Linked DNA regions of Astyanax mexicanus. The protein of the gene in region 1 interacts with the protein of each later gene in a biochemical or structural test. Links are inferred from orthologs where the notes say so. Each region holds a gene or a part of one and is shown on either strand. Other genes may lie near its edges.

The links.
Region 2: the proteins of akap1b (region 1) and C-Myc-binding protein form a complex in vitro, tested with the Homo sapiens proteins (2 studies listed by BioGRID). The link is inferred for Astyanax mexicanus from reciprocal best matches to the Homo sapiens genes AKAP1 and MYCBP.

Annotation. Positions count from the first base shown.
Region 1 is NC_064425.1:18,459,230-18,470,494, forward strand, and holds the start of akap1b (A kinase (PRKA) anchor protein 1b), read right to left. Parts: upstream 4,803-11,265; 5' UTR 4,628-4,802; intron 1,803-4,627; exon of another isoform or gene 1,740-1,802; intron 1-1,739. Other genes in the region: nf1a (neurofibromin), read right to left, coding at 9,885-10,027.
Region 2 is NW_026040049.1:698,409-709,396, forward strand, and holds the start of C-Myc-binding protein, read left to right. Parts: upstream 1-6,569; 5' UTR 6,570-6,679; coding exon 6,680-6,694; intron 6,695-8,593; coding exon 8,594-8,666; intron 8,667-9,275; coding exon 9,276-9,324; intron 9,325-10,756; coding exon 10,757-10,886; intron 10,887-10,988. UniProt on the Homo sapiens protein: May control the transcriptional activity of MYC. Stimulates the activation of E box-dependent transcription by MYC.

The DNA of each region.
Region 1 (11,265 bases):
TCAGATTATAAAGCATGTTCCCAGCCTGGAAAACATTAATAAATGCTTGGTCATGTTGTAACATGTTAAGTATACATAACCTCTGACATGTAATATGGTACACTATTTTTCATAATCAAGTACTACTGTTGCATAGCATTAGTTAAATTTTGTGTCTCAGTTTGGGCAATCACACCAAAATGCATCAATAGAAGCCTATGTGCAAGACTGCTAACTCTGTGTTCATGATAGCAGATGAATGCGAAAAATGACCAGTATTTTTATGGGAGAAACAAAGAAACAAATGGAGTTGCAATTCTTTACAGTTTTTTCATGCAAACAAATTATGATGCTGTATTCTTAACTTTGTGAAGTGACATTCTAAACTGTTGGCCAAATGTAAAGACACAACATTGTACTGTTTTTGTTTGTAATACTATATTTACATGGGATGTCAAACATCTATGTTTTTATTGAAAATAGGCACTCTAAACTCCCTAAGACTCACCACCTAATTTGACTAAAGCCCTATCCGGAAAAGATTAGTATCTCAGGGGGACATCAGTGAAAAACACTTCACACTTCTACTGATAAAACTCTTGCAGGAGGACCAGTGAGTTTTTTGGCTTTCTCAGTCACGTCATCGTGTTCAGTAGCTCCTCCATTTCCACTCGCTGTTGTGTTTAAGTGGCTCTTTGTGGAAACGCATGTCCAAAGTGTACCTACGATGTATAGCAGTAGACAGATTCTATTTTATTAAATACAAGGAAACAAAACTCAGATATCCGGACAGTACTAAAATTACCCCTATAAAAAAAGAAAATTACCCCAGGATCCCCTGAGAAATTAATTCTGTCTTTTGTTACTGCTTCATTACTCCACGTGGAATGAATGACTGCAATATATTGAGTATTGCAGAATCATGGTATCATGAGATCATTAAATCTCTATAATATACTGTAAAATGCCCTGTAATTTTCATTCTCACTGCTGAAGTCTAATATATTTATTCTATATAAGCAGTAATCGAACGCAGCTAAATTTCCATTAATAATTAAAACTTCACGCTGACATCCAATCCTGATTATCCTTAATTGTTAATCTACACCGTTGACCTCCTGTATGTATGGACCTTCTTCTGTATGTATGTATGGATGGATGGATCTCCTCATGGCAGTCATACAGGAGAGTCCCCCTCTCAGTGTGAGAGCAGTCACATGTCTCAGGCTGCAGAGAGAGACTCCTGAGCGTGCGCAATTTGGACAACAGAAAATGCCAGTGCTTGTTTTGCCAAAGCCAAACCGTTCACCTTCGAGGAGGTTAAATAAACGGCGTGTGAAGTGTCTGCCGGCCGCAGGCTTGGCTGTTATCAGGGGCCTGGGCGCTTTACTGCACGCAGGGAGTCAGGAATCACGGAGCGCCGCTGTACGACCTTGGGGGGAGATAACGGCGGGGGTCACCGGACTTCACACTTCTCACACACGATACAAACACGCCGAGCGAGCACTGCGACTGGAAGAAGCGTCTTAAGCTGCTTATTAGCCAGTTAGCGTGTCCGCGTTTAGAATACAAAACAGCCGCACTGAGCCTCTGCTAGCTAATATACGCACCAAGCAGCACACAGCCCGCCGTGCTCTCCCTCACACTGCTGGAGAAAATGACACTTATCGTTTCGCTAATCTCTCAATAAACACGACCAACATCAACAGTAACCAGACAGAGAGACTGTAAAGAAATAGGTTAGCCTATCTACAACAAACCTATCTCCTGATAGAGCTGTGCAGGGTCGAAATTAAGACGGGCATCTGGCGCATATGGTTGTGTGGGTCTGTTACCTCGAGGTTGCGCTGCTACATGTGCGCTAGGTTAGCTAACTAGCACGAAGCCAAAGTTGACTTCTCATTCAAACTGTCCAGTCTACCTTAAATGCCTCCGACTGTTCACTGCCCTGCGCATGCGCTATTACAGCATTTCACGCACCCACTCACTCACTTAATCTGGATTTTTACCTGAAGGTACATTTACAATAGACAGGGATTGAAAGAAAAAGATAAAATAAAAATATATATTTCATTCTGTGAGTTTGTAAAGAAAAAATATCACATTGAGATTTATCTAATAAAACAAGATGAAAAGGTGACTTTAAAACAAAAGAAAAAAATTATTAAATTATCAACAAAAAAAAAAGCCTAAATGATAAAGGCCTTTCACAATAACTATTTTGTTATATGTTGTTAACCACTGTTGTAATAAACAATAATGCTGCCAAATTAATCAGTTATGTCACTAATGATCAAAAAGATTTAAAAAAATGCAGATTTAAAACAGGAGGGGAAAATATTTTAAACAAATAGGTTTAAAAAGCCTAAATTATAATAAAAGGCCCGTCACAATAACTATTTTCGTGCGACATGCTGTTATTCACTATTGTAATAAACAATAATGCTGCCAAACTGATAATGTTATGCCACTAATGTGAAAAAAAAGGAAATGTATCTTCAAAACAAGAGGGTGAAAATTATTAAAACAAGAAAGGTCCAAGAAAGGACAAAATTACAAAAAAAAACTTGTCACAATAACAATAATAATATTTTTGCCACTAATGTAATGTAGTACAACATAATGCAACAATATGCAATTACACCATAATTACAGTGCTGACCAGCTCATCTTCAGAAAACTAACTTAAATAAACCATAGATGATGCAGCTTAACTATTTATATCGATACCATAAATCGAGAACAAATATTGTGACAGGCCTACAAACAAAATCAACCAAGAAAAGTAAAATGAAGCTAAAACTGTGGACCAAAAGAATGCAAATATAACTAACGTTACCTACAACAAATAACTAACAAATAAACTAACGTTAAACTAAGAAGAAAATAAAAAGTGTTACAATGAGTTTTAAAAATATAACCTAGGAGTTAAGGTGGACCGAACAGCTCCTACAAGACGCTAGCTAACTAAGTTAACGCGAGCTAACGAACAAGAAGCAAACTTCAGTGTGGTTGCGTTAGCGGGCTAAGCTATTAGCCAACTGGCTACTGTTAAGCACGACTGACATTACAGTCACAAAAACTGCATGAAAATGGAAAACAAACGAGTACAGACTATCATAGTTATCTAGCTAGCTAACATGTTAGCAAGCTATGTCCGCCGTTCAGCTTTAGCTAATAAGTGGGGCAAGCTGCATGAGCGGGCTGCTAGCTAGCGCTAAGTACCTGGCTGGCTAACGTTAACTGCTTCATTTTGACCTACAGCGTGTTTATTACAGTAGCTAACGGAAGGCCGAAAAGCGCTGGATGAATTAATACCGTGCAGAAAGAGCCATTAGCTGCACAGAGAGAGAGGTCATCCAGAAGCAGCTAAAAGCCACAGCGCTGCGTGACTTTGAACGGCATGGCCAACTTACTTCACGAGCCTAATGATCGACAGCCATCAAGTGGATTCTCGCTTAAATCTGTCTGTAAATGACAGCTTTTAGCTAGGTTAGCTATACCTACAGCAGCACGCGTGCCCAATCACGAGCTTCGTTCCGCTGAACGTGTTTGAGTTTTAAGCGCTGCAGTAATAGTGTGTGTGTGCGTGTGAGAGAGGGTCGCTCCATGCGTTAAACGCATTTTAGCCATGTAACGTTAGTTAACTATTTAGCTAGGTCATATTTTCTGTGCAGCTTTATCCTTTTACTAGTTACATTTGTTATATTGTGAACTACTCGAGTTGAGGTCAACCTAAGTAACTATATAAGTTAGCGGTTGATGTATAAGCATATATATATATATATATATATATATATATATATATATATATATATATATATATATATATATATATATATATATATATATATAGGTTATGAAAGTTACTACTCATATTAGCTAGCTACCGTTCCTATTATTTAACGTCAATAAGCTCCAGCCCTGCACCACACACAGACACAATGTGAACTGGGCTAGCTTAGCTTAATAGCTAAATATTAATGTTGCGTAAATGAACGAGTCCTGACTGTTCATAGCTAGCTGGCTAACATAACTGAAGCTAGCTACGCTAAGGCTACTTTACACTGAAAAATTATAACCTGGTAATATTAACGTTATATTAAATTATAAAACTGTCAAACTAGCTTAAATAGCTAACTAGCTTGACTAGGATTATAACTTAGGATAACTAACCTATATATGATAGCTAACCTAGGTTAGCTAGCTAACAATGAATGCTAAAATTAGAAAGCCCTGTCATTAGTTAAACTAGCTCTAACACTCTGACTGGGCTGCAAAGTGAGACAGCTTTAAGCAGCCAAGTCGTGTGTTGGCTGGGGAGCCATAATTAGTTATCTAACAGTTCTGTTTTAGCTGCTGAGAGGCGCTGGAGCATAAGACAGATAGCGTTAGCTAACTAAATGTCACTAATCATACAGACAACATAAGAAAATAGTAACAGAAAAAAGAAAACATGATGATTGCTAGTGTTCGCTAACATCCCCGCCAGCTACATAAAGTAGAGGGCAACCCTGAGGCACTAGCCTAGCTATGTACAGAAGAGCAATGCGCTAGCGGGCTATGTTAAGCAGCTAGCTAGCTAGCTAGCGCCAGTGTCCCCCGGTTTGAGCCCGACTCTCCACCGTACAGAGCAGTGCACACTCACCGTGTCTGCACGTCCTTCTCGCCGCCACGGTGAACCGCACACCCGTATAAATAAAGCTCCGCTACTGTTCCTCTGTCCTCTGGGCCCAGCACACCCCGGCCGTGTCCCTGTGCTCAGTGTCTTTCTCTCTGTGTGTCTTTCTCGCTCTCCTCCCCACGTGTTGACCGACCGAAGCACACTAAAACACAGACGCACCAGCTGATCAAATCTCGCGACAACTGCGCTACTCCTTGGCTCTCGCGAGGCTCCCACAGAAGGTTTCCAAACTTCACAAAGCACAAAGGTGTGTTGGCTATTAGCTACAATAGAAGCAGAATGAAACATAGAACATCTAAAGGAATTAGTATTTAAAGGTCATTAATTAATAATAATAAAAAAGTAAGAAGTAGCTACATTCCTTACCTCACAAATGTGCTTGAGCAGAAGTAAAATAAATAAAGTAGAGATGTTAAGAAATTAGTCCTTACAGGCTGAATTACCTACTGTTTTCCGCTGCACTCTGTGGTCCTCTGGTAATTTTATTCCGGTCTGGACGCACATCTCTGATTTTTGTCTCCTTGCGTTTTATAAAATAGCTATTTGTCCACTGCCATGCACAGTAATTACACTTTGGGCACGCGCTTCCACGAAGATCTACGTAAACACAAGAACGAGTGGAAATGGAGGAGCTACTGAATGCGATGTCGTGATTGAGAAAGCCGAAGAACTCACTGTTTCTCCTGTTTGTTTGTTTTTAATTGCAGTCCAGATGAAAGAGTTTTATCACTGAGTAAAAGTGTAAAATATTTTACACAGACACCCCCCCTGAGAAACTAATCCCATCCGGATAGGGCTAAATACTGCATTCTGATATCTCCATGTTCACAGTATATCTTGCATCAGCGCCATTGGCTGCCTCACAGATCTTCAGGGATCTTAGGTTAACCAGCAAAAGCTGTCAGAAAAACATTCCGGAGACCCTAAGTGTGTTTGAAATGGTTTACGCACTATTCATTATGTAGCATTTACTATGATTAGGGAACGATCAAACAACAAAACCATCTTTACACAACATTTTGGGTGCTTTTTTAGCAAACTACATAGTGAATATAATGTATTGTTAAGATTTTAAAAAGCACTACAAAATTGCTGAGAAGTGTTTGAAGAAAACTGTCAGAAACTAAACATGTACTCAGACATGACTGAGTATGCAGCATTAATTATATTTCCGACACAGTTATAGAATTTTCTACATTTCTTGATTGTTCTGGTGTTATTAAAATGGGCAGATATTAAGATAAGAATAAAAATAAATATATACATAAAAATAAAATAAATAAATTCATAGAGACATCAGAAGTGAATACATTTGCACAATTATTAAACTTGTATTATCTTTGTGGTTCTTTACCCATTACATGACTATGTATACATTAATGTAGTTAGTAAATCATATTTTTAGTAATGGTTAAAAAATGGTAGGAATAATAAAAAAAAAATTATTAATTCTGATTAAATCCATTAAGTAAGTTCAAATGGCACTTCCCAGTATTTTTGGGGTAAAAAAATAAATAAATAAATAAATAATAATAATAATAGTGTATTGTGGTATGTAACTCCTTAATATTCCAGCTTTACCAACCTTCATACAGACAGATTTTATTTAATCTTAATTAAAATATAATCGACCTCTGATTGTAACCGTAGCATCACTGTGTTTACATCGCTAAATAAAGATGATAATAGTTCACCAGGCTGTGTTAAAAAGTGAATGAGAGGAAAGGTGGTGCCAAACTTAATCAAATTAATACGTTGCCAGTATAGCTGTTTTTTTTATTATTATATAATGTCAATAAAAAAACAGCCTCACACAAAAAAGTGTGTGGGGTAACATATAGTATAGTATAGACTTGACAGAAATAATACCACATTTAATGTTACTGTGACAGGGTGGTGGACAACTTTTATTATGAACACAGGTATATTTAAATTGCCATGTTATACATGTACAGCAACTAACTGCTTTACAAAAAAGCAATACAATGTCATATTTACAATCATATAACTTCCAATTTTACACAAAAATATTTACAAATGACAAATGTGCTGTTTACAGATGACTGGTGCAATTAAAATGTGGTAAATGCTTCAACCAAACACAGCTTCGCATTATATAATAAACATTTTTACTTCTTTTCAATGTACGCAGTGCTCCTTAACCACAAGGTGTGACACAAAATGAGCAAGACTTATCTTACATCATACTTCTCACACACTCTCTTACACACACACACACACACACACACACACACACACACACACATTTCCAAAGGCAGGAGGGCAAGCATGCTTCCAATGAACTGCAGAGAACAGCAGGCCATCCCCTACATCGTACCTCCATCTATAGCTGTACATATTAGGCTTCCATATATCCTGAGAACTTTACTTACACAATTTAATTTAGCTGTGTACCATCAAGCCAAAGCCTGGGATTAGTGAATGAATGTGGAACTAGGAGGGATTTAGAAAGCGCAAGATAGATAGATAGATTACAGTCTTGGTTAGTTGAAACTCATCTTTCACCCACATATCAATCCTTTGCATGAGGTGTAGTAGGTGTTATTAAAATGTGAATAAAAAAAATTGTACAATGTTTCATTGGACAGCCTCGGCATAGTCACCATCTTGAACTATCGGTACTACTACTCTTGCACTCTAAAATGGTACTTATGTACAGACAACAGGGTAACAAAATGGAAAACATAAAATACTGAAGCTACATGGATTACATAATAAAGGAAAACAAAATAAACAAAAAACAACAAAAAACACAATAGAAAAATGAGAAAGCAGGACGGATTTGGTCCCAATTAAGAAAGAAAAGCAGGAGGCACTGTTATAACTGTCAAAACTAGACTGACTAATCACAAGTGACACAAGAGAATAAACCCTTTACTAAGGCAATTAATGCTTAGGAGATGCAGTGGTTTGAGATATATAGGAATAGGTTTAGTGGTTGAAGGGCAGAAAACTAATATTACAACCAATTGTAATCAACAGATAAGTGACTTTGGTTTCCTTAAAAAAGAAGTCGGTAATGCTTCACGCATTAGAAGGCTGATCCCCTTCTTTTTTCTTTTGTAGTGCGATTTCCCTTTAAAAAAAATAAAAGAAAAGTAAAAAGAAAAAGACACTGTCAGTGAGAAAATAAAGAAAAAATATAGTATGATAGTGTATAGTCATGAGATTTCCACCTTATCTTCTGGAAAAAGAAAGAAAAAGTGGTGCGTGTACGAACAGAGAATATTGCACGTCATCAGCTAACCTCCTCAAGTCATGTGCGTTCGTTATTTTGAGTAAACTGTAGTGGTATTTTGCTTACAATGAATGAATGTGAGTGAAACGGCACACTAGTCTTAATGCACCCATAGAAATGGGTGGAGGGATGGGGGGCATGAACATGAAGCATGCAGTGTAAATAGTAGCTACAAGACAGAACCTTCTTTGCAACAACGGCCTGGAAAACAAACCCAAAACCATTTTGGAAGAAGAAGGTGTCATCATAATAGACATATATAACCTACAATGGTAAACATATGAGAAGATCTAGAAGAATTTGAGAAAAAGAAACAAGGTGTTTTCACAACATGTCCATTCTTTTCTTCTTGCGATTTATCCTTTGGTGCAATATCACTATGCCTCCCTCTTGATATCCTGGAACTTAGGGTGGGGGGGTGGGGGCCTGGTACAGATTAATACTGATGGATAATGGATCTGATGGATGCTGTGCTCCAGTAATGGTGCGCACACAGACCACCTCATCTCCCTTTCTGTCTTAACCTATGCCCACCCTTTGAAAACACAATAAACCTAAAAATAGACCAAACAACATACACAGCATATTTGTATTGAAACTAAACAGAAAAAATATAAATTACTGGTGGCACACCATAACTTCGAGACTAAGCTGAAGCTAAATATCTTCAAAAGCTCTCAAATAGTCACTCATGTTTTATCACTTTTATCATTGTCACAATGACTACAGGAATCATGTGACAGTCAGTTAGCTGTAGCACTCTTGTCAGTATATGACTGTTCTTAATTGTTAATATTATTTTTGAATGATAATTGGTTGTTATTATAGGAGAACAGCGAATAAGAGCTATTTATCTTCATTTAATTTGAGTTATCTACCTGGACAGAATAAATATCTACAGTAAATGCAGCAAGTAATGACACTTATATATTTGAAGAACATATGATCGTTTTTACTTCTTTACAGTGCAGCAAAGTATGGACATATGTATATGTGAAGAAGAACACTTCTCTATATAAGTAGTACCTGTTTTTCCCTTCCTCAGCTTATATTACAAACTATACACAGCTGATAATCCTGACAAAGGCACACAATGGACAAAACGGCAACCCAAAATGTGTGATCATCATAATCATCATCGTCGTCGTCTCTATCGTTTCCGTATATACACACACACCAAACACATATCTGCTTGGTATTAGAATGACATCCAATTGCCAGTCTAGACCTGGATCAAGCTTAACTGTGAATATCCTCAGATCACCAGGTTTGGCTAATTCTCAGGACAAAAGGATCCAAGCAAAATCCTGCCAAACACTTTGAGGTTGTCTTTCTCCACAGTCAGTTTTGGTCAGGTGTTGTAGTGGTTGTTTATATATATATATATATATATATATATATTTATATTTAAAATTCTTCCAGAAGCTTCCTTGAGGCCTACAGTCTCAAGTGTTCGGTCTCAAAAAACCGTAGAGAACATTTGAAGCTTGTTCCTCATACATACAGTTTGCACACAATCTTGTGCCGTTGCTGAAGATTAGGAGAAAACAGCAGACAGTGTCTTCATCCTCGCTTGAGTGTTCCCTCAGGCTCCCCTGACTTTCAAAGCAGAAGTTGAAAAGCCATCAGGGGAAAAAAGGATGCTAACTGCACAGAGATACTACGCAGTTTACAACGTTTTCTCTTCATGCACCAGTCAAAGCTTCTTAAGAGAGCCGATTCTGAACTGTAGTGCAGAGAGAGGTTCAGGCCCATCACACCTCGCCTCTTAGATCGCTGTTCCACACATGCAAACACACAGGTAGTAAACACTGTTCTTCCATTTCTGGCTTCCTTAACAAACAAAATGAAGCTCAAACGCAAGGAACCTTCTCAGACTGGTCGACGGAGCAACAGAAACGATTTATGCAGAAAGGTAATTAATGCAGCCTCCTGAATGCACAGCTTGGTCTCGGAGCGTGTTCAGACGATCTTCTTGATGCTGGTACGTTTGAAGCTGCCAGCGCTGCGCTGTTTCTGCACCTGGCTGGCTGAACCGTGACGCGCTCGGCTGCCGCTGCACAGGCTGGAGGTAGGGGAGAGCTCCACGTTCTCTTTATCAATACCTGCAGGAGAAGGAGAAGGAGGAGGAGACACAAAGTATACAGGTCAAACTCCACACATTCCTACCAAGCAAGAGGACATGAATGGACACTAAAATGTGTCCAATTTAAATTCTGTTTGTGGACACCTCTTCTAATGAGTCCATTCAGCTTCATAAAGTTGCCTCCTAAAGTTGCTGATAATACAGATGTGCAAAGAAGTACTGCTAATAGGACTCTCTGTAGGAATTAAATTAACCTACAGCCATCATGCCTACTGGCAGGTGTGGGCTAGGCAAGAGGGGTTTAAAGCCATCCAGCATTGAGCTGTGGAGCAGTGGAACTGTGTTTTCTGGAATGATGGTGCTCCATCCAGTATTTTAGGAATGAGTCTGGGAGTTGGAGAGAGAGGATCAGGTGGGGTAGTGATCTCTTAACATGATCATAATGACCTAAGCCTTCCCTGGAAATTAGAGACAGTTCCTCAAATTTCTTTTAAGAACATTGAACGGATAAAAAACAAATAAGAAAAAAGAAACAACAAATGAGAATGTATCCAGATACTTTTGTCCATTTAGTGTATAGTTAGCTATACAGATTTTATAGTTAGATATACAGACTATTAGATATTATGCAACAGTCTTTTACCTGGATGCTGACAGAGGTGCGAAGAGAGCCAAAGAAAAACAATCTCTCTAATTCACATTTCTACAGTTTAGTTAAATTGCGCTTGGCCTATCTAAAAACTTTGTACTCGTGTAAAAAGGGTGGACATTATTTATCATAACTGAATATCACTTTTATTACAATTAAATATGTGCCAAACATTAAAAATTTAAGGTCCATTCAGTGAAATTAAACATGGGTTGCTTGGCTCATATTGTGTGGTAGTATCAAATCTTAAAGCACCAATATGAGCTTTGGATGTTCTGAGTGAATGACGAAGCACTTTTCTAAGTTACTCTCAATAAGAGCACCTGCTAAAGGCCACAACATAAATCAATGTAGCACAATGGCACTGTCTACTAACGGGGGAAAAAAGTAATAATTCAAAATTATTATAAATATCAATGTAAATAGGTTGCTCCTAATAGGAGTGGGTTTAATGTATACTGATTTTCACAGTAATCATTTTTTGCAATATCATCCATCCCCTTTTCACGAAAAAAATCACGCAGAAATTTGCAATTAAATCTTGTCAGTCATAGAAACTGGTTTTAATACCCTTATCAGCCAGAAGGTGGCTCATGATACAACAGTTA
Region 2 (10,988 bases), on another chromosome or scaffold:
ACGCGCTATAGCGCCCCTTGAGGCCGATCGATCTCATTTCAAGCACCTGAGTAGCGGGAGGGAGTACTACCAGATGGTTTCATGCCTCTAGGCCTTACAGTTTAGCTGTGTTATCAGTTTTATGGCAGAAAAAGTATACTACTACTAATAATAATAATAATAATAATAATAATAATAAAAATCAGAACAAATACAATAGAGTTCCAGCACTTCGTGCTCAGACCCCTAATCACCTGCTCCAACTTCAACAACAACGTCTGCAAGTACTACAGTACTACACCTCTACAACAGCTGCTACAAGTTCGAGATCAACTACATCTATACCCATCATATCAACCACAGCAAGAACATCTACATCTTCTCAAACAACAACAACTGTTTAAATTTAATTACATAAAATTAGCCTTTTGTACTTAAACTCATTTTGTTGAAATAATAAACAATTCAATTTCTTTCTGTTCTCATGTTTCTTTAACTGAATTTACAATGAATAAATACTGAAATGAAGCCGAGCATTTACAAGAGCAGAGACTGACATGCCAATAAAAATTTAAAAACTATTTTTAATCATTTGAAATTAAAAGAAAATTTTATATAACAGTGAATAAAGATTAAAATAGGTAAAAACTAATCTTGCTATTTAATTGACACTAATAACAACTAGGGTAACATCTAGGGGGGAAAGTTTGATAAAGAACTTCAGGCTTGGAAAAGCGAAAGTTCTATGAGTATACCGATCATCACAGTTCTAACAACAAAAAAAATGCTTGAAATTTTTGATAGAAATGGATCCCTTCAGGGGACGTGTAATTTAGTTTAAAAGTGAAAAATTGACTTTTTTCCAAGGGTTGAAAAGACGTTGGTTTAAAGACTAAACGTCTAATTTAGGCTGACACTAAAAGGTGAAAAGACATTTTTCCAGTGGTTGAAAAGATGAATGTAGACACACATTATTTTTTGGTTAATTAACAGTAAAAACATATTTCATGTAGAAATGTCAATTGTTTATTTTATGTTTAATGATCTTTAAATTTTTATTTAATGCCACTTGTGTATGAAAACCTTTCACCCCCCCCCCCCCCCCCCCCCCCCCCAACAACCTACTGTTGCATAAGAAATTATTTGTAAGCTTATAGCTCTTAACTTTAAAATTTTAAGACATCCATGCTGTCCGTGCCACAACCCCGGACAACACACAAACCTTTCACAAATTGTAACCATGGAAAGTTTTTAAACTTAATGAAAAAAAATATTTATGATTAAAGAACCTTCTCGCTATCTAGTTAGCTAGGTTATCTAGTGTTAAACATGCAACAGTGAGGTTAAAATAGCTTTCACATGTCACCACATTTCAATATTTCAATAAGATCTAAAGAAGTTTCATAAACTTTTATCATACAATTTAAATCTAAACGATGAAACAAAAAAAAAATAACTATATACCATTTGCACTGATCATTCCTCACGGTCGGCCAAACAACTGGCTTTTTAACCTAACCAATCTATGCTAACTAGCTTAATGCTAGTTAACTCGGGCTCAGACTCCAACAAGGGTCCTATTTAACCTGGTTTGGTAGTAATAAAATGACACAAGTTACACAATAAAACTCAAAAATTGCAGAGTGGTGTTTTTTTTTAAACTTTACCTCATCTTAGCCTTATCAGCTAACCAAGCTAAGCTAACTAACCGGGCTAGTGTTAAGCTAGTTTAGTTACCTCAGGCTCTGGATCCACCACAAGTTCTGTTTAACTTAGTTTCATAATAAAAAATAAAATATATCTAGCTAAAGTTACACAGTAAAACCCAATCAATTGTCTTTTTTCCTCACAGTTACACAAAGTGTTGGTTTATTTTATTGGTTTATAACTATAATCTTGGTATCTTGGTATTAGACTTATCAGCTAACTAGGCTAAGCTAACTCGCTAACCGGGCTAGCGTTAAGCTAGTTCAGTTACCTCAGGCTCTAAATCCACCACAAGTTCTGTTTAACTTAGTTTCATAATAAAAAATAAAATATATCTAGCTAAAGTTACACAGTAAAACCCAATCAATTGTCTTTTTTTCTCACAGTTACACAAAGTGTTAGTTTATTTTATTGGTTTATAACTTTGTAATCTTGGTATCTTGGTATTAGACTTATCAGCTAACTAGGCTAAGCTAACTCGCTAACCGGGCTAGTGTTAAGCTAGTTCAGTTACCTCAGTTACCACAAGTTCTGTTTAACCCAGTTTTTTAATAAAAAATAAAATACAGCTAGCAAAAGTTGCACCATAAAACCAGGGAATGCGCTCTTTGCACAACTACTTCCCCATTCTCATCAGTGCTGCTCCAGCGTTTCCTGTTTGGCTTTTCCAATACACTCCTTATGGCAGTATTTTCAGCTGGTGTTTACAAGAGCTTCTAAAAATTAACCTCAACGTCCAGGAGACCAGTAAAGCCCACCACTAGTCTAATAATAATAATAATAATAATAATAATAATAATAATAATAATAATAATAATAATAATAATAATAATAATAATAACATTTATTAGACAAATACTAGCTATAATAATAAAAATGCTGGCTATAATAATGCCAACTATTATAATAATGATAGTAAAAATAATAATAATCACTATAAAAAGAATCATATACATGCTAGCAATAATAATATTAATAACAATAAAAATACTACCTACAATAATAATAATAATAATAATATTAATAACAAAAATAAAAATAGTCAAAATAATAATAATATCTAGCTACAATAATGATAATAATAATAATAATAATAATAATAACAATAATAATAATAACAATAATAATAAATATCTATAATAATAATAAATATCTATAATAATAATAATAATAAATATCTATAATAATAATAATAATAATAAATATCTATAATAATAATAATAATAATGATAATAATAATAATAATAATAATAATAATAATAATAATAATAATAATAATAATAATAAAAATATCTAGCTATAATAAAAATGCTAGGTGGTGGATCATTCAGGCAAGTACGTTTAGCTGATCTCCTCTCCAAATCACGTGGAGCCTGGGTGCTGTCACGTTAATTATTCCATTTAAAAAGCAGTGGCACTGCATGCTTTGCCAGTCGTCTCCAAGCTTCTGACGTTTTTGGTTTAACCAGGTAGTCTGGTATTAAATGTTTGCTACAGACCTTTCATACGGCGAAATGGTGAAGTGGTCCTGACTGATGTTCATCAGTCACTGTTTATTAGATCACTCTGAGCAGGGAAGCTATGAAAGCCTAAAGCTTCCATAAAACTTAGCAGACGCCGTGCAAAAAGGAACACAGCAGTGCTGAAAACGGCTTGAAAACCTCACGCTGGATACTCATTTTGACCTCTTGCTAGTACAAAATGTACGTTTTGCCTATACAGGCGAATGTAAACAATACAACCGGAAACGTCCGAGCCGCAACTTCTGCTACAACCTCAACTACAGGTCCAACAACCACAACCACACCTCCAACGACCTCAACCCCAGCTCCAACATCCTCAACTACAGGTCCAATAACCACAACTACAGCTCCAACAACCTCAACCCCAGCTCCAACAGCCTCAACTACACCTCCAATAACCACAACTTCAGCTCCAACAACCTCAACCCCAGCTCCAACAGCCTCAACTACACCTCCAATAACCACAACTACAGCTCCAACAACCTCAACCCCAGCTCCAACAGCCTCAACTACAGGTCCAATAACCACAACTACAGCTCCAACAACCTCAACCCCAGCTCCAACAGCCTCAACTACAGGTCCAATAACCACAACTACAGCTCCAACAACCTCAACCCCAGCTCCAACAGCCTCAACTACAGGTCCAACAACCACAACTACAGCTCCAACAACCTCAACCCCAGCTCCAACAGCCTCAACTACAGGTCCAATAACCACAACCACACCTCCAACAACCTCAACCTCAGCTCCAATAGCCTCAACTACAGGTCCAATAACCACAACTACAGCTCCAACAACCTCAACCCCAGCTCCAACAGCCTCAACTACAGGTCCAATAACCACAACTACAGCTCCAACAACCTCAACCCCAGCTCCAACAGCCTCAACTACACCTCCAATAACCACAACTTCAGCTCCAACAGCCTCAACTACACCTCCAATAACCACAACTTCAGCTCCAACAACCTTAACCCCAGCTCCAACAGCCTCAACTACAGGTCCAATAACCACAACTACAGCTCCAACAACCTCAACCCCAGCTCCAACAGCCTCAACTACAGGTCCAATAACCACAACTACAGCTCCAACAACCTCAACCCCAGCTCCAACAGCCTCAACTACAGGTCCAACAACCACAACCACACCTCCAACGACCTCAACCTCAGCTCCAACAGCCTCAACTACACCTCCAATAACCACAACCACACCTCCAACAACCTCAACCCCAGCTCCAACAGCCTCAAATACACCTCCAATAACCACAACCACACCTCCAACAACCTCAACCCCAGCTCCAACAGCCTCAAATACACCTCCAATAACCACAACTACAGCTCCAACAACCTCAACCCCAGCTCCAACAGCCTCAAATACACCTCCAATAACCACAACTACAGCTCCAACAACCTCAACCCCAGCTCCAACAGCCTCAAATACACCTCCAATAACCACAACTACAGCTCCAACAACCTCAACCCCAGCTCCAACAGCCTCAACTACACCTCCAATAACCCCAACTACAGCTCCAACGACCTCAACCCCAGCTCCAACAGCCTCAACTACACCTCCAATAACCACAAATACAGCTCCAACAACCTCAACCCCAGCTCCAACAGCCTCAACTACACCTCCAATAACCACAACTACAGCTCCAACAACCTCAACCCCAGGTCCAACAGCCTCAACTACACCTCCAATAACCACAAATACAGCTCCAACAACCTCAACCCCAGCTCCAACAGCCTCAACTACACCTCCAATAACCACAACTACAGCTCCAACGACCTCAACCCCAGCTCCAACAGCCTCAACTACACCTCCAATAACCACAACTACAGCTCCAATGACCTCAACCCCAGGTCCAACAGCCTCAGCTACACCTCCAATAACCACAACTACAGCTCCAACAACCTTAACCCCAGCTCCAACAGCCTCAACTACAGGTCCAATAACCACAACTACAGCTCCAACAACCTCAACCCCAGCTCCAACAGCCTCAACTACAGGTCCAATAACCACAACTACAGCTCCAACAACCTCAACCCCAGCTCCAACAGCCTCAACTACACCTCCAATAACCACAACTACAGCTCCAACAACCTCAACCCCAGGTCCAACAGCCTCAACTACACCTCCAATAACCACAAATACAGCTCCAACAACCTCAACCCCAGCTCCAACAGCCTCAACTACACCTCCAATAACCACAACTACAGCTCCAACGACCTCAACCCCAGCTCCAACAGCCTCAACTACACCTCCAATAACCACAACTACAGCTCCAATGACCTCAACCCCAGGTCCAACAGCCTCAGCTACACCTCCAATAACCACAACTACAGCTCCAACGACCTCAACCCCAGCTCCAACAGCCTCAACTACACCTCCAATAACCACAACTACAGCTCCAACGACCTCAACCCCAGCTCCAACAGCCTCAACTACACCTCCAATAACCACAACTACAGCTCCAACAACCTCAACCCCAGCTCCAACAGCCTCAAATACACCTCCAATAACCACAACTACAGCTCCAACTACATAAACTACAACTACAATCACAGCAACAACTACAGCTGTATCCACTACAACAACCATGCAAGAACAGATCCAGTTCTACCATGAGATTAATTCAAATCCTTAACTACAACTGATACAAGTGTAGACCGTGTTGGTGTGGTATTGAGTACAGTGTGGTTACTGTAGACCGTGTTGGTGTGGTTTTGAGTACAGCATGGTTACTGTAGACCGTGTTGGTGTGGTATTGAGTACAGTGTGGTTACTGTAGACCGTGTTGGTGTGGTATTGAGTACAGTGTGGTTACTGTAGACCAAACACCAACACCAGAAATGAAAACATTGACTGAAGTGACATTGCAGCAACGTTAGAGGAATGTTTAAATACGTTAAAACGATAACGCCGGCTGAACCTTCGACTATGCCTGCTTTACCTCCGAACACATCTGCTGCAACTTTAACTTTTTTTTTTTTCTTTACCTCAGTGTACTGGTTTAAAGTTACTGGTTTAGGAATAATTCATTGCATTTCACAATTATAATTTCATAATTTTTATTTATTTATTTATTTATTTATTTATGATTTATATTATATGAAATAATATTATATTATATTGTAATTAAATTATAATCTTTTTATGTACTATTTATTTATTTTGATTTATATTTCATAATTTCTATATTTTATGTGTTGTTTTATATATAGTTTTTTTATTTTTATATATTTTTTTATTTTGTTAAGCTATGTATTTATTATTTTATTGTATTCTTTTTTACATTAACATATATAATTTGTTGTGAGTGTATGTGGGCGGTTCTTGGTTGCCAGGGCGACGGTGTGTCGTGTTCCGGTGTTTGGCGCGGTGGGGTAGCGCGCATGCGCGGGCTTGGAAGGTAAGTTAGAAGGTTAGCAGCGGAGCTGAACTCCTGAACTCTGAGAGGAATTAAACCCGGAATGGCGCATTACAGGGTGAGTACCGGTCCAAACAGCACCGAACAGAACCGCACAGCGGTACACAGCCCGCCCGGACCCGAACAGCCGCGGAGTTTAGGGGAATTTATGGTATTTATGGTAGTTAATACCGGCGGAGAGATGCAGGAAGCTAAAGCTAATAATTTACCTCAGAACCGCCGCGGGTTCCGACCCAGCTCACAGCTCTTCCCTTCTCCAGAACACCCTCACAGCTCCCGAACCGCGGCCCACAGGTTCCGACCCAGCTAATATACCAGAACCGTCGCGGGTTCCGACCCAATGCAGCCCGTTTTACAGCTCCAGAACCCAGCTCAACTCTACCGACCACCTTAACCAGTTTAATTACTACTAATTACCTGTCCAGATACTAATTACCAGTGTAGATACTAATTTCCAGTTTAGATACTAATTTCCAGTGTAGATACTAATTACCAGTTTAGATTAGGGGTGGGCGACATGGCTCTAAAATAATATCACGATATTTCAGGGTATTTTTGCAATAACGATATACTTGGTGATATAGGAAAACAGAAATAATTTGTTAATTTTAGTAATATAGTATAATAGTATAACAGTATAATCATAATGTGGCAAAATAAATAATATAGCATAAAATAATATAATCCAGCAAATAATATAGCAGAATATTTAGTGCATGCATATAAACTGCAAACTAAAACAATTATACAATAAATACACCTAAAGCTTCACAGTAAATAATAGACTACTTTTAAGACAGAACAGCCCTGTTATCACGATATGGATTTTTATATCATGATATTTCTGTGTCACGATATATTTTATACGATGTAATATTGCCCACCCATAGTTTAGATAGTAAATTTCAGTTCAGATGCTAATTACCTTTGTATATAGTGATTACAAGTGTAAATACTAAATACCAGTGTAGTGTAGATACTAATTACTTTAAATACTAAGGACCCATTAGGGGTGGGCAATATTATGTCGTATACAATATACCCTAAATTTCCTTCGGGATAAATAAAGTATCTATCTATCTAGTGACAGAAATATCATGATATTAAAAATCCATATCGTGATAATAGGGCTGTTCTGTTTTAAAAGTAGTCTATTATTTACTGTGAAGCTTTAGGTGTATTTATTGTATAATTGTTTTAGTTTGCAGTTTATATGCATGCACTAAATATTCTGCAATATTATTTGCTGCATTATATTATTTTATGCTATATTATTTATTTTTATCAGATCTTTACCTGCCTGTATAACCAGACCCCTCCCCCCACTGCACACCTGTGTCTGAGCCAGCTCACCTGATCCCACGATAAGTGATGATTATCTGACCAGTCCTTCACCTGCGCCTTTATTTTTTTTTTCTAACTGCGTTTTGTGTGTAGAAGTGCTGAGTGAAATAAATATAAATAAAGAATTCTGGTCTGATGCTGTTATACACATTTATAACTTAAAGAGAGACTACACACACCGGTACAACTTTATAACTTTATCAATTTATTGAAAATATATTAAAATTAGCTTAAATCAATGCATTTCACATATACATATAGTTATACATAGTTTTTTTTCCCAGATTATCAAACAAACATGAAGATAATCTGAGTAAATATAGGAATCACTTTTAAAATGATAATTTCATTTATTATGGGAAAAAAACAGGCCTGATAACTGCCAGAACTGCACTATCAAGAGATCACTTCATGTCTGGGTATCTGTTCGTGACCTCAAGCTCAGGAGTACTTGGGTTCTGCAGCAGGACAATGAACCAAATCACACAAACAGCAAGTTCACTGTCTCTGAATGGATTAATAAACTAAATGAAGGTTCTGGAGGGTTAAAGTCTGATTGAGATTGAGTATTATTGTTAATTTATGTATTTATTATATGAATGATGTGTTTCAGGCTGCAGAGTCGAAGCGTGAGCAGTTCAGGAGGTACCTGGAGAAAGCTGGAGTTCTGGACAGTCTCACTAATGGTGTGTTCTGCTCTATACAGCTCTATCTGTTATAGTTATAGATGTATACAGCTCTGAAAAAAAATAAGATTCCACTTATGATGATGATCACAAACCATCAAACCACCAAACTGAACTGCTTGAATTTTTGCACCAGGAGTAAAGCAGCATAAAGTTATCCAAAAGCAGTGTGTAAGACTGGTGGAGGAGGAGAACATGATGCCAAGATGCATGAAAAAAACTGTGATTAAAAACCAGGATTATTCCACCAAATATTGATTATTTCTGAACTCTTAAAACTTTATGAATATGAACTTGTTTTCTTTGCATTATTTGAGGTCTGAAAGCTCTGCATCTTTTTTGTTATTTCAGTCATTTCTCATTTTCTGTAAATAAATGCTCTAAATGAGAATATTTTTATTTGTAATTTGGGAGAAATGTTGTCTGTAGTTTATAGAATAAAACAACAATGTTCATTTTACTCAAACATAAACCTATAAATAGCAAAATCAGAGAAACTGATTCAGAAACTGAAGAAGAGCTCTCTATTATAGAGAGCTTTGTATAATACTATATTCCGTATATTTTTGTAGAGTGTTCCGTCACTAATCATTTCCCCTTTTCTAACAGTGCTGGTGGCTCTGTACGAGGAGACGGATAAACCCAACAATGCTCTGGAGTATCCTTTATCCTCTGCTGGGTTACATGTAGAGCTTTATATCACAATTACATTGTTTTACTCAATACTATATAAATAAAGGGCACACCTTAACAAATTCACTTTTAAATGAAATTATCCAACATCTCTGCTGGATTTTCTCAGTCAGTTTTATGAGGTAGAGTCACCTGGAATTCAGGCTTTCAGTTAACAGCTGTGCTGAACTCATCAAGAGTTAATTACTTGAATTTCTTGTCTCTTAATAAAGTGTTTGAGAGCATCAGTTAAAGTAAAGTAGTTAAGAGGTAGAGTTACAGGTATACAGTGAATAGTGAATATTTGAGTAATGTTCTAATCCAGATTATGAGAAGCAACAACTACTCAACTAAATAAAGAATAAATTACGTTAAGAAGAAATGAAGGTCAGTCATTTAAAAAAAAAGAAGAATTTCAACAACTGATAATGATGAAACTGGCACTTATCAGGACTGTATATGAAAGGAAGAGCGAGAGTTTCCTCTGTTGTACAGGATAAGTTTATCAGAGTTTAATCTAAATACTTCACAGAGTATTTTGGTTTGTTTAACACTATTTTTAAGTTACTACATGATTCATTATGTGTTCCTTCATAATCTGATACATCACTTTACTATTCATTTACTGTGTAGGAAAGCTGTGTCCAAACTTTTGACTTGAGTAAAGTATCTGTACATTACTCTAGTTTCCAGTTATTAATATCAGAACTCTGGAATTAATGCACTCCTCAGAGATACGATAAATACAGATATCCAATTATTGTCCAGTTCTATTCAGATGGTTGTTAGATAAGGTAGTATGGAGTTAAATTAGTGCTAAATCTATGCAAATAAAGAAAACATATTCTGTAAATATTATACTACCTGCAATGATACACAACACATGTTATATTTCTTTAAGAGCAATGTATTAGAAAAACTGAACGCTGTGTATTTATTTAAAGGTTGCATATATATATATATTTATATGTTTACATATATATTTGTAAAACACACCCTGTGTGTTAGATAGTTGTGTTTTATATTTGTAAAGCGAGTTGTGTTTGTTTGCAAGTAGTATAATATTTAAAAATAAGTTTTCTTTATTTGCGTAGTTTTAGCACTAATTTAGCTTCATAAGGTCAATCAATCAATCTTTATTTTAACTCGGATGTACATTGAGGAAAACCCTCATTTTTAATGTAGCCGAGCATTTACAGAAACAGGGATGGCAGAGAAAATAAGAGCAAAATGTAATTATTTTAAAATAACGGTATATAGTGTGTAAAAATAGATACAAAAATAAAAATGTAATTAGAATAAAATACAAATAATAATTAAAAGGTAGTGTTGGCAGGGTGTGATGTCTGTAATTGTGAGCGGGCAGGTACCTGAGTTCCCGAGAGAAGCGTTGTGGTCCTGAGTCAGATCTCCCGCAGGTTTATACGGCTGCACCTGAGCACAGGTGAGCCGGACTCCGGCGACGTGGAGACGCTGTGTCTGGAGCTGACGGAGCTGCAGCAGAAATACGACGCTCTGCTGGAGGAGAACCGAGACCTGAAGAACCGGGTAAAGCTGATTATACACTAGATAACTTCAAACAGACTCCGAAAAAAGACGTTAAAAGACTAAGTTCTGATTCTCATTCACATCTAAAGACTAACGCTACGT